2 linked regions of the Arabidopsis thaliana genome follow. The main gene of each other region encodes a partner of the protein of the gene in region 2 in a complex. Each region holds a gene or a part of one and is shown on either strand. Other genes may lie near its edges.

Region 1 (6,047 bases), on a different chromosome or scaffold from region 2:
TACACAAACTTACGTTACCGGACAAAATAGTTCTTTTGAATATAAACTTGAACTTTCAAAATTCTTGGAAAACTAATTACAAATTTTTTGGACTTTGTGATAAAAATATTCAACATTAATGAAGAATTATTTAAACGTACTTTACTCAATTTCCATCACATGCATAGCTACTACAGAATAATACGACTCGTCAAACTTTATATAAACTCTATTTCCCTCGTCCTTAACAATACATTTCACGATCCCAAATCTCTCTTTCTCTCAACTTCTCTTTTTAACAAACGAAAAAAGACATGGGGCATAGAAATACCGTATTGACAATACTTCTAACCATTTCTATAGCCATAATGGTACTCATTGCTACAGTATTTGTTAGCAACAACAAAACAGAAACGTTGTTACAAACGCATACGCAGACGCAAACGCTAATTACAACGGGAAGGGTGAGCCGTTTCTTAGCGCAAAACGCAAAGAACGGTCGTAATCTTAACGCAGCGGATCATTGCAATAAAGAAGAGGAGATATGCAAGAGTCAAGGAATGTACAACTCAACCATGGCGTGTTGTAGCAACAAGTGTGTTGATCTGGCGTACGATAACGATAACTGTGGCGCATGTAAGAACCAATGCAAGTTCACGCAGACTTGTTGTAGAGGAGAGTGCGTTTACTTAGCTTATGATAAGAGGCATTGTGGGGAGTGCAACCATAGTTGTTTGGTTGGTGAGTTTTGTGTCTATGGGTTGTGTAATTACGCATGATATGTGATTAGTTAGTTTTTATATGTTAAACTTTGGTATTTTATTAGTGTTTTGTTTATTTCGATTTATAAATTTTAATCGATAATTTGATACGACTAGATTGGTTTTCTTTGTGATATGAGTTTGAATGTTTGATATTGCAAAAAGGTTCAAGAAATGGAGAACCATATAATAGATATTATTCCATATAACATCTATTATTCCATGGACCAATAATCTGGCAGTGCATGGCTTCATAAGCCTTTACTAACATATAAATCTCACAATTTATGAACCATATAATAGATATTATTCCATTTTACATATTAAAATATTCTATATGACAAAAAAGATAGTGATTTTCAAACATAAACTTTGTCTAGAGATGAAATATTATTTGAAAAAAAAAGAGAAGCTTAGAGATGACGCCTAAAGTTTGAAAACAAATGAAGAGAATATGCAAGAAAAAAAAACAAAGAAAAAAATCAAATTTATGAACCGTATAACATCTATTATTCCATTTTCTATATTATATGTGATGATATTTTGTTATTTAAGTGAATAATTGAAGAATTAATTATTAAATTATTTGATATTATAGATGTTTCAAGTAATTTATTTTGTTGATAGGAATGTGAATAACATTAAAGAAATGAAGAGTTGAGATTTAACAAAAGTTGAACCTAGCTATGAGAACTTTGCCAAAAAAAACAAAGTTTCAAAAAAAAGATTTTGAGTGTCAATCAACAAATTAACGAATCCAGAGAATCATCAAGGGGCAACGACTACATCTTCTTGCATTTTACTCATGGGATATTGTCCTTGAATCCTTCGGCTGGTGAACTTGACTGGAAAGAGGCTAAACACATTTTAAAAAGTCGGAAAATTCAGACGTTACACGATGATAAAGAGTACATGATATTTGGTCTAAGTAAAGATCACTACAATGAACAAATGTATGTCTCTTATGTTTATATACTTTTTATGTTCATTATTATAAGATATATTTCTTTGCTTTATTTAGGTTTATTCGAAAGTTTACAAACAAAAAACTAAGAATCGGTGAAGGTTAAGACTACGGTATATAAATATTTCACCAAAGTGTTGGGAATTAAGCTGAAATATTTAGGTGACTTTCCTTGTCTAAGGGATGTCGGCTCTGATCACCCGATTTACTTACCGATTGAGGTGATTTAAAAGATTTTCATATTAACTTACCACATTTTCATGCACACATTATGAACATCGTTGATAGCTTTTGTTACTACGTATCATGTAATTGATTTCGTTACTTAGTATAGGAGATTTATCTGAAGTTGACTGGCCCAAGGTAAAAAGTTAACTTATGCTTATTTGAGTCTTAAGTTAACTTTTTCTCGTCAGGCTGAACTTGTTCGGGTAACTTTTTTTTAAAAGATTTTGTTTTAACGATTTTCCCAAAATCTAAAAGAAGATAAATTATTAAGGGAGAGAATTGGCAATGGAGCGCCTGAGAATAAGTTTTTGAATCAACAGTCGCGGCAAAAGGTAGATCGAAGCAGATCTCTCGCTGGAAAACGTCACATTGAGGTATCTATCGCCGCCAATGGTGAAGGCACTGCAAGGCGCGGCTCAGAATCTACCGGCGGATGTCAACCAATTGATCGATCAGTTAGAGCGTCACTGTTTGGCTCCCGATGGATCTCTTGTTACCAAATCTGTCTACTCCGATCTCCAACTCGTAATCTCTCTTTCAGATTTTGTGTCCACAATCCCCTAATTCTCTTTAAGAGCCTCAAATGTTATTGTATCGACATTGCAGGCGAGAGAGGAGATGTCTCGGGAGAGACTTCGGTATTTGGAAGCTATGGTAACACTTTTATCTCTTCTTCCATTTTTGGGGTTTATTTTAATTTCAGGATTTTCTTCATTCACTTATTGAAGTTGAAGCTGATTAGTTCAAATTAGGGTTTGATTCAATCTAAGGACTCACATTATTAGTTTTTACAATTGTTAGGCTATTTATTGTGAAGCTGTAGCTATGGTTGAAGAATATCAGCAAGCTATTTCAGTAGCTAACCATGGGGGAATTCGTGATGTTCAAGGTCTATACCCTCAACTTGGCTTGAAGAATTCTCCTCAGGTTTCTAATCTCAAAAACGTGATTTTTTTTCTGGAATTATTTGTTATCTCGAGACTCATTTATGAGCATAATTGTTGATTTTTTTTAGGTTTATGAGACTCTAGAGCATAGGTTGGTGGTTGCTGAGGCGGCTCAGAAACTGAGGCTACCTCTTATTTCAGATGGTGGTGAAATTCATGAGGAAGAGATTGAAAAGTGGAGTATACTTTCAAGAAGCTCTCTTGATAGTGCAAGCACGAGTTTTACGATTAGCTCCACTTCTAACTCCGTGAACTATGCGAATAGCTCTGCAAATAGTGTTGCTGGTGGGATTAGTCTTAGTGCTGTTGATACTGACGTAGTAGGTGGTGTTCCGAATCGATTTCTTGGAATAACACCTGCTTACTTATCCTATGTTCAGCTTCAAAATACTATTTCCATGGTAATGTGAGATCATACTGTGCCTACTTTTGGTGTCTTCATAACTATGTTGTTCCTTCATCTGCTGATTGCGAAATATTTTTGCACCAATTCTTATGAAAGATTGGGTTATGGATATCTTTGAGTATCTAATTTTTTCTTTTAAATAACTTTGCTTAGGACATGGCTGACTACCAAATGTTTCTTGCCCGTGAGATAGAAGGTCGATTGAAGGAAAAATGTGATAAGTTGGCTGATGCCATTGTTGATGACACTGGTAAGATCTTCATTACTAGCAGACAGAGAAAGAGGTCTTTCGCTCCTTACCCAAATTCATTTGTTCCTGTCCAATGTGATACTTGGACTTTATGTTAAGTTGTGTGCCAATCCTGACTGTATTTTTCTTATACTCTTCATTAAATGACAGATTCGTCCACAGGAAATCGAAATTCAAGTGCTAGGCTCCCAGAAAGGTTAGCTTTATCACTATGGTTTAACTATGCCTAAAGACATCTAAAAGAAAAACTTAATAGCGTTATGGTTTTAGTGAAGACGGATGGCAACTGGCCTTTCTAGGGATATATATATCTACATAATGTGATATACATGTAAACATATGGTAGCGAAATGCAACTGAAAGCCTCTTTTAGATGATGGGATCATAGCCATAGAGAAAAAGTTATGTTCGTGATAGTATTCTGTTTCTCTGTAAAGTTTATTAAAAGTCTAGAAGGAACAAATGATTTTCTCACACTTAGCCATCCTCTTAAGCTCTCTAGTACCGATGAGTGACCGTGTTTTCTTGCATTTCAGGGTTAAGTTTATAATTGAGGAGATTGAAAGAGATGAAGCAGCTCTACGAGAGGACCTGTACTCGGCTGACAGGAAGTTTGCTGAATATTACAATGTAGGTGAAAAGAATATTCATATTGTATTATGCAAACCGAAAATCTAATTACTGGGCTGTTGCATGATATTTTACTAAATTTTTTTTTTTTATAGATAAATTTCTACATGTATATGAAAGCTACTACTTGTCAATTATCCATGTATCCCCTAGTTGTAGTAAGTTCTGATGACTGTTCGTTTTTATTCTGAACAAGGTCCTGGAACAAATACTCGGGGTACTTATAAAGCTTGTGAAGGATCTAAAGTTAGAACATCAACACAAATATGTAAGGGTTTCAGTGTTTTCCAATTGATTTAAATGCTGCCTGTTCATATATAGCTTACTCTATATATTGTCACAGAATGAGATGCAGAAGACTTGGTTGTGTAAAAGGTGTGAGACCATGAATGCAAAATTAAGGTATAATCTCATCCTTTACTGTTTAGGATCTAAATTTCAGGCTATTGCAGTAGTTAAGATATCTTATCTTTCTCTGCTTGAAGGGTTTTGGAAAATGTTCTCCTCCTTGAGACATACACCCCTGACTCCATATCAGCTCTGCACAACATCAGGTGCGGGAATCTATTTTCCAGACATGTTTCTTTCCATGTATTTGATAAATCCATGACCCCGTCTCTCACCTCCAAGCATTATTGTATTTTTTTAGGAATTATCTAGTCGAGGCTACCGAGGAAGCTTCAGCTGCATACAACAAAGCGGTTTGTGTCTTTATCCTCTCTTACATTGCTTAGCACTAAACCCTTTTGTTCAGTCTTCATTGGCATTTTACTCCCGATTAATTAACCGAGCCTGCGAAATGACACACAGGTTACTCGGCTTAGAGAATATCAAGGAGTAGATCCGCATTTTGATACAATTGCCAGACAGTACCATGACATTGTTAAGGTACAAGCAAGTCATTACTTAAGTCATTTCACCTTCTAAATTTGATTTGACTTGTGGGAATACAACAACACGAATTATAATGAGAGCTTTCATGGTTTTGCAGAAACTGGAAAATATGCAGTGGACCATTCATCAAGTAGAAATGGACCTTAAGTCTCATGACTGATCACTAGATTTGTTAACACTTGTGATATATGTATTAGCAAATCTAATCCTCCAAGAAAGATTGAACTGGGAGAAAAAATCAGTATAATTTAAATATACATCTAGCTATGTGGTCCACTACTTGTAATCTACTTACATTGTGTTATCTTCCTCTGTTATATACTTTTATTGGTCCTTCAAACCAAATGAGATGACCAGTTTAGCAGTACCAAAATAAATGAAAGCAATCATCTCTCTCTCTCTCTTTTCAACCTTAAATTTTTGCCTAAACAACAATAATAATACCACTCTTGTCTTTTTTGATTAGATTCAGACAGAAGACAAATAAAATATGTTAGAACAATCTTGGTTGTTGTGGATTCCCACTTCTCATCATAGCACAAAACTCGTCATAGTTGATTCTACCGTCCTGTAACAAGAAACAAAATTTGAGGTCAGAGAAAGAAAACGAAAAACGTTACAAGGGCGAAGAGCTTTAATCTTTTGGCTTTTACATTATCAGCGTCGACATCAGACAAAATCTCTTTGATAGTAGCATCATCTCCCATTCCATATTCCTTCAAAGCAGCCTCTAGCTCGTCTGTCGTAATGTATCTATTAAACACATTTTCAGTAATAGTCTCATCAATCATTGCTAACAAATCTATTTACATTGCAAAATGATTCATACCAAAAGAAAGATCACTTACCCACTCCCATCTTTGTCAAAATGTTGGAAGGCTTTGTAAACGTTCTCATTACTTTCAAGCCTATGTCTATGCATTGTTGCAGTAATAAACTCAATGTAATCTATTGACCCATTTCCATCAACGTCAGCCTGAATCACAAA
Region 2 (5,640 bases):
CTATTCTTTTCAGGTCATCACTCGGGGAAAGCTTAGAGGGTGTTCGAGGCATCTTTTGATGGTATCAAATAAGACTTTCTCAGTGAAGACATTTGCCAAAATCTGAGCTAAGCTCTTGAATTTCTGATCAGTAGTATTCTGCTCTGTCGCGTTTGAAGCCATGTAAGGCTTCTTTTATTATAAACCTCAATTTTTGGGTTAATGGTTGTTTATATGAAACGTTTACGTTTATGATTGGCAAATCCACTGAATCTTGAAACCATTGTACAAATCAGTCTTAATACGCACAGATTGGTCCCAGTTCTCTTGTCATGAATAGGAGTCCATATTATTGTTGGAGTCTTCCCAATACAATTTGACCTATATATACATGCACGCAGCATAATTACACGATATGGGGGAGCCACATAAATCTGGATCTTGATAACAAATTTGAATCATTCATACTTGGAATGGTTTCTATATCTTGTGTGTTCAAGTCACTGTTCCGATGCTTATTCCAAAGAGGACTTGCTTTGAAAACTCTGTTTGCTGGGAGTCTTTTGTAGCTGTAGAGCCAAATCATAGCTAGACTAGTCAAAGTTTCGTCTCTGTTAATCTTAAAACATCATTTTAATAGGTGAAACTCAAGTTTAAGCTCTTTAACTTCTCGGTGCAGTATGCGCCAATATTATCATCAAGAGCTTGAGACGATTCACACGGGCAGTTAGTTGAATATGTTTGCATTTTATTGTTTTTGTCCTAAATGTGTAGCATTAGTGAAATATTTGGTCGATGAGAAATTTTACCTTTAGATTTGATTTGGTTAATTGACAGAAGCAAAAAAGTGCTGAAAAGAGTTACAATTCTTGAGATCAAAACATCCACCCTAAAATGATTTCTAACGAATACAACTCATCACATTCATGGAGTTGAACCCTTTATCAAGTGTGGTCAACTCAAGACAGTTAAAGACGCTCACCTTGCTCACGAGCAATAGAAGCCGAGAGGATTCCAAGATCTCGATTGAGAACAGTTAATGCAGCTTCACAGTCGGATACGATTCTGGTTACAGAGGATGGCTCTCCAGCAACTGTCCCCGAGGATCCAATCGAAAGTGCTGCATGTGAGTCTCTTAGGTTCTTCAAGTTCCCTAGGAACTGTTGCCAAACGATTTGTGTATCAGAATCAAAGTATAAATTATATGGACTCAATATAGTCGATACAACCAAGTATACAGATAGAAGGAGACAATGGGGCACCTTTAAAAGCATATTATATGCTTCTAGTAAACGGTTTGCAGCAGGACCAAAACCATGAAGCTGAGGCACTTCCATCATATGCGTCCATGGACGAATTTCCTGAAAAAAGTCCAAACATAGTGATAAAGATACAACGGCTTATTTTTCAGTTTCTGGAAAAGATAGTCAGATCATAAGATATTCAGAGGCATTTTTTGCGACATGGAAGCAGCATGACAGAGACAAATAGCAGATTTCATGTCTACAAGAAAAAAGCTGAACTTATGCATTTTACTTCTAGCTAATCTAGGTTGATAGGGAGAGAGAATTATGAGTTAGTATGAAAAAGAAATACCTTTGTGTAGATTGTATTGAATGCCCTAGCTGTTTCAAGAAACGATTCTAAACGAGCCCTTAGTTGAGATTCCACTTCAGTATATTCTTCATCTGGGTTGTAAGCATGCTGAAAGGAGAAAACAGACATATTTCTATCAACGTCAATAAGTAGTAGGAATTATGTATATGACTGTTTCCTTCTATCAACAAGTCATTAAGTAGTAGGAATTGAGTATGCATATATACATATTAGTTACATTATGAAGTTCAAGTCTTGGCTACATCAGAATCAGAGACTACTTATAAAGAGAAACAAGAGCTATATGTTAAGCAATTGGTATATGCAGTTTACATGTAAACGTGCGATAAGTAATAAGCTGAGTGAAATATATTAAGTCTGATGAAACAGTAAATGAGTTCTGTAGTTAAGAGTCAAAACATAACTCTTTATGGGGAAACAAAAGCACACCTTTGCTGCCAAGTCATCGACTTTCTGTTGAAGATTAGAGAGAATCTTGGCCTGTTCTGAAAGTTTTGTCTCCAGTTCTGAAACATCTGGTCTGCAAATAAACTTCCATTAAGGAACATAATGTCACTACATCTGCTGAAACATGAAGCAACAATTTAAGGACTAAGATTTGCAAGTACAATAGTAGTATAACTTAAAGCTTGATTTTAAACGGAAAAACACATTGCTAACCCTAGTGACTCATAGTAGCAAAGTTTTAATTTGGAAAACTAAGTTCACATTTACAATTCATATGAAAAAGTCCATTACCCACAATGACTAAATAGTGAGAAAAGGTGCAATAACTTGGAGATAACAGGAGAAAATGGTTCTTACAATGGATATATCGACTGGATCTGCACATCAGCAGGGAACAGTTTGCATTCCTCAGAAAATATAAGAGACTGTCTCTCTGCAATAGCATCTATGAGCTGAATATCTTTGGCAACTTGCTCATCAATACTGAAGAATAAGCAAAATCATTGTTATGCAGTCTTATGCTCAAAGAACAAAACACATAATAAAGTCGACGGGAATAAGGAAGATGAAAGACTACAAAAATGCCACACTAATGATAAAAACTGGTGGAAGATATCAGATACAAGTGACATGTCTACCTCCATTCTTGATTATCTGAGAAGAGGCTCGCCTCCACTAAATCAACAATATTGCGAAGCATTTCCATCCGATCTTCATAGGTTCCATGTCCCTAAAAGTTTGAAAGATTTGCAAAACAAAAGAAAATTGAAAAGTGGAACCCATGCTTGCACTTTGACAAATTATGGAACTTGAGCAAATACAGGTAAATGCATAAATCCAGTAAGGCTACTTGAAACAAACTTACTTGAATGGCTTCAATGTCTACAGTTGGTGTAATCCCCAAAAACTTTGCAATCTCTGCCAAATCTGAAACCGAGAAGTCACTTACACATCAAAAACTAATATAGTCTAAGATAATAGCTAGGCAATGTTCAAAGGCCAACACGATCAAAGAAACACTTACATTGAATACGAACAGTTTCTTCATCACGAACTCCAGCATCTCCTTGGAGATTTTGCTGTGAGAAAGGTGATTTATCACCTAATAACCTTCAAAGACAGAGCCAGAGAAGAAACAATAAGTAAACCCCATCGAATTTTGTGATCAGAGCTCGAGAAATTCAAAATGTTGAGAGTTCACATTGATATTCAAAATTCAGAGAATTCCCAGCATTTTTCTGGTAGAAGAGAATCGAATAAGCTATAAAAGAAGGAGAGGAAGAAAGAGTTACTTGAAAAAGAGCCATTCGAGAAGAGCATAACGTTCCATCCCGGCGAAGAGGAGAGACTGAGCTGGAGCATTTGCCCTAGGGTAACTTAGCAGCCGTAGCTTCTTCTGTATCTCTTCCATTTGCTTCGCCGCCATTTTCCTATCCAACTGATTCTGGCGACGGCTTCAACACCGATTCAAATCTCGAGATCTGACACTAGTCTCGTCTTCTTCTCTCAAAAACTTTTTAAAAGCCTAATTTACCACATTGGCCCATTTTCTCATCTCCAGCGTGTAAACAGTGAAAACAAAACCCAAAATGAAAAAGAAAAAACAAACTTAAGTAATTTAACATCAATGGACCTAAAGTTTTCTCTCAAAACTTTAAAAAACTAATTTTACCATATTGGCCTTTTTCTCATCTCCTGCGTGTAAAAAGTGAAAACAAAACCGAAAGGAAAAAACATTAGTAACTTAACATCAATAGACCTAATTGATCTGGGTGATGTAAAAAGGTAAAATATTCGAATGATTGCGGCGGTTAGAATGGACAAAACCGGTGCGGACCAATTTTAAGACTACTTTTACATTGAAAGAAATTGGATCTCGATAGATTATTGTTCGCTATAAAAGAAAATGGTTTAATCCGTTTTACCCACCACATTCATTCAAAACCAAAATATTTGGATAAACAATAAAAAAATCATAAGCAATAACAAAATAATATACGATATGAAAAAATAATGATAAAAGACAAATGATGGCATCGGTTCCGATTTTGTTATTGTTAACAATCAGAACGAAATAGTTTTATCGTGAAGTTTTTTGTTAATCTAACATTTAAAATTATAAAATTTACAAATTAAAAATTCCAAAACTTTCAAATGTGAGTCCCATTTTTTTGAATCTCGAGACATTTTCCACAATGCTTTTCAAATAGGATGGGACATTTTACCAATTATATAACTAAACAAAATAATTGGAATAATTATAAAAAGAGTACTATATTCGAAGAAGGAGCAAAGTCCAAGAACAGAGCTTTCAAAAAATTGTTGTACTTCCCAACGGATCTCTGACGTTTGGTCCAGAGCCGACGACGACCCACAACCGAAACCAAGAGCTATCTCTTTTTCCTCTTCTCTCTCTCCTTCTCTACCTGCGTTCGTGCTTAAACAATGATCTCCCTGAATCTATCTCCTTCCCTCAATCCGGGTCTCCTCCACAAGACCCGGACCTGTCAACAACCGACCCGTCTCTCTGCTCTTCTCGTCACCAACCCTAAACCCTTCAATCACAGACACCCACTAGGGCTTTCACCGATTCCCAATCTCCAGATTCGTGATGTTTCCGCAAAACCCTTGCTTTCACTCACAAACCCTGAATCCTCATCTGGGTTCTCGAGAAAACCCAGATCCATCGCCGCCGTTGGCTCATCGGATTCAAATCCAGACGAAAAATCCGATCTTGGTGAAGCGGAGAAGAAAGAGAAGAAGGCTAAGACTCTTCAGCTAGGGATTGTGTTTGGTCTTTGGTATTTCCAGAACATCGTCTTCAACATCTTCAACAAAAAGGCACTCAATGTCTTTCCTTATCCATGGCTTCTCGCTTCGTTTCAGCTCTTCGCAGGTTCTATTTGGATGCTTGTCTTATGGTCCTTTAAGCTTTACCCCTGCCCTAAAATCTCCAAGCCTTTTATCATTGCTCTCCTTGGTCCTGCATTGTTCCACACTATTGGACATATCTCAGCTTGTGTCTCATTCTCCAAAGTCGCTGTTTCGTTCACTCATGTTATCAAATCAGCAGAGCCTGTCTTCTCTGTTATCTTCTCGTCTTTACTCGGTGATTCGTATCCGTTAGCTGTCTGGTTATCGATTCTTCCGATTGTTATGGGTTGTTCTTTAGCTGCAGTCACTGAAGTGTCATTCAATTTAGGTGGATTATCAGGAGCTATGATTAGTAACGTTGGTTTTGTCTTGAGAAACATTTACTCTAAACGTAGCTTACAGAGCTTTAAAGAGATTGATGGATTGAATCTATACGGTTGCATCAGTATACTCTCTCTGCTTTATCTGTTTCCCGTGGCGATTTTCGTTGAAGGATCACATTGGGTTCCAGGTTACCATAAAGCCATTGCATCTGTTGGGACACCATCAACGTTCTACTTTTGGGTTTTGCTCTCTGGTGTCTTCTATCATCTGTACAACCAGTCTTCTTACCAGGCACTCGACGAGATCAGTCCATTGACTTTCTCTGTTGGGAACACGATGAAGCGAGTCGTGGTGATTATCTCCACTGTTTTGGTGTTTAGGAATCCTGTTAGACCTCTG

What was found.
Region 1: AUG7 (region 2) and AUG4 share a complex: the UniProt entries of both Arabidopsis thaliana proteins name them as parts of the augmin complex.

What each region holds. Positions count from the first base shown.
Region 1 is NC_003070.9:18,783,891-18,789,937, reverse strand, and holds AUG4 (HAUS augmin-like complex subunit), read left to right. Parts: upstream 1-2,135; 5' UTR 2,136-2,322; coding exon 2,323-2,457; intron 2,458-2,538; coding exon 2,539-2,586; intron 2,587-2,733; coding exon 2,734-2,859; intron 2,860-2,947; coding exon 2,948-3,280; intron 3,281-3,438; coding exon 3,439-3,535; intron 3,536-3,685; coding exon 3,686-3,731; intron 3,732-4,071; coding exon 4,072-4,165; intron 4,166-4,361; coding exon 4,362-4,433; intron 4,434-4,508; coding exon 4,509-4,567; intron 4,568-4,650; coding exon 4,651-4,719; intron 4,720-4,814; coding exon 4,815-4,866; intron 4,867-4,975; coding exon 4,976-5,053; intron 5,054-5,156; coding exon 5,157-5,219; 3' UTR 5,220-5,429; downstream 5,430-6,047. Other genes in the region: AT1G50720 (Stigma-specific Stig1 family protein), read left to right, coding at 294-758; CPK33 (calcium-dependent protein kinase 33), read right to left, coding at 5,553-5,627, 5,713-5,812, 5,908-6,047. UniProt on the Arabidopsis thaliana protein: Involved in microtubules reorganization during spindle and phragmoplast development.
Region 2 is NC_003076.8:5,804,987-5,810,626, forward strand, and holds AUG7 (nuclear matrix protein), read right to left. Parts: upstream 3,634-5,640; 5' UTR 3,470-3,633; coding exon 3,336-3,469; intron 3,154-3,335; coding exon 3,068-3,153; intron 2,971-3,067; coding exon 2,909-2,970; intron 2,774-2,908; coding exon 2,682-2,773; intron 2,527-2,681; coding exon 2,401-2,526; intron 2,117-2,400; coding exon 2,026-2,116; intron 1,684-2,025; coding exon 1,576-1,683; intron 1,341-1,575; coding exon 1,242-1,340; intron 1,140-1,241; coding exon 948-1,139; 3' UTR 722-947; downstream 1-721. Other genes in the region: AT5G17610 (uncharacterized protein), read left to right, coding at 14-59; AT5G17630 (Nucleotide/sugar transporter family protein), read left to right, coding at 4,489-5,640. UniProt on the Arabidopsis thaliana protein: Contributes to the assembly of the acentrosomal spindle and phragmoplast microtubule arrays as part of the augmin complex. Regulates the association of gamma-tubulin with the spindle and phragmoplast microtubules.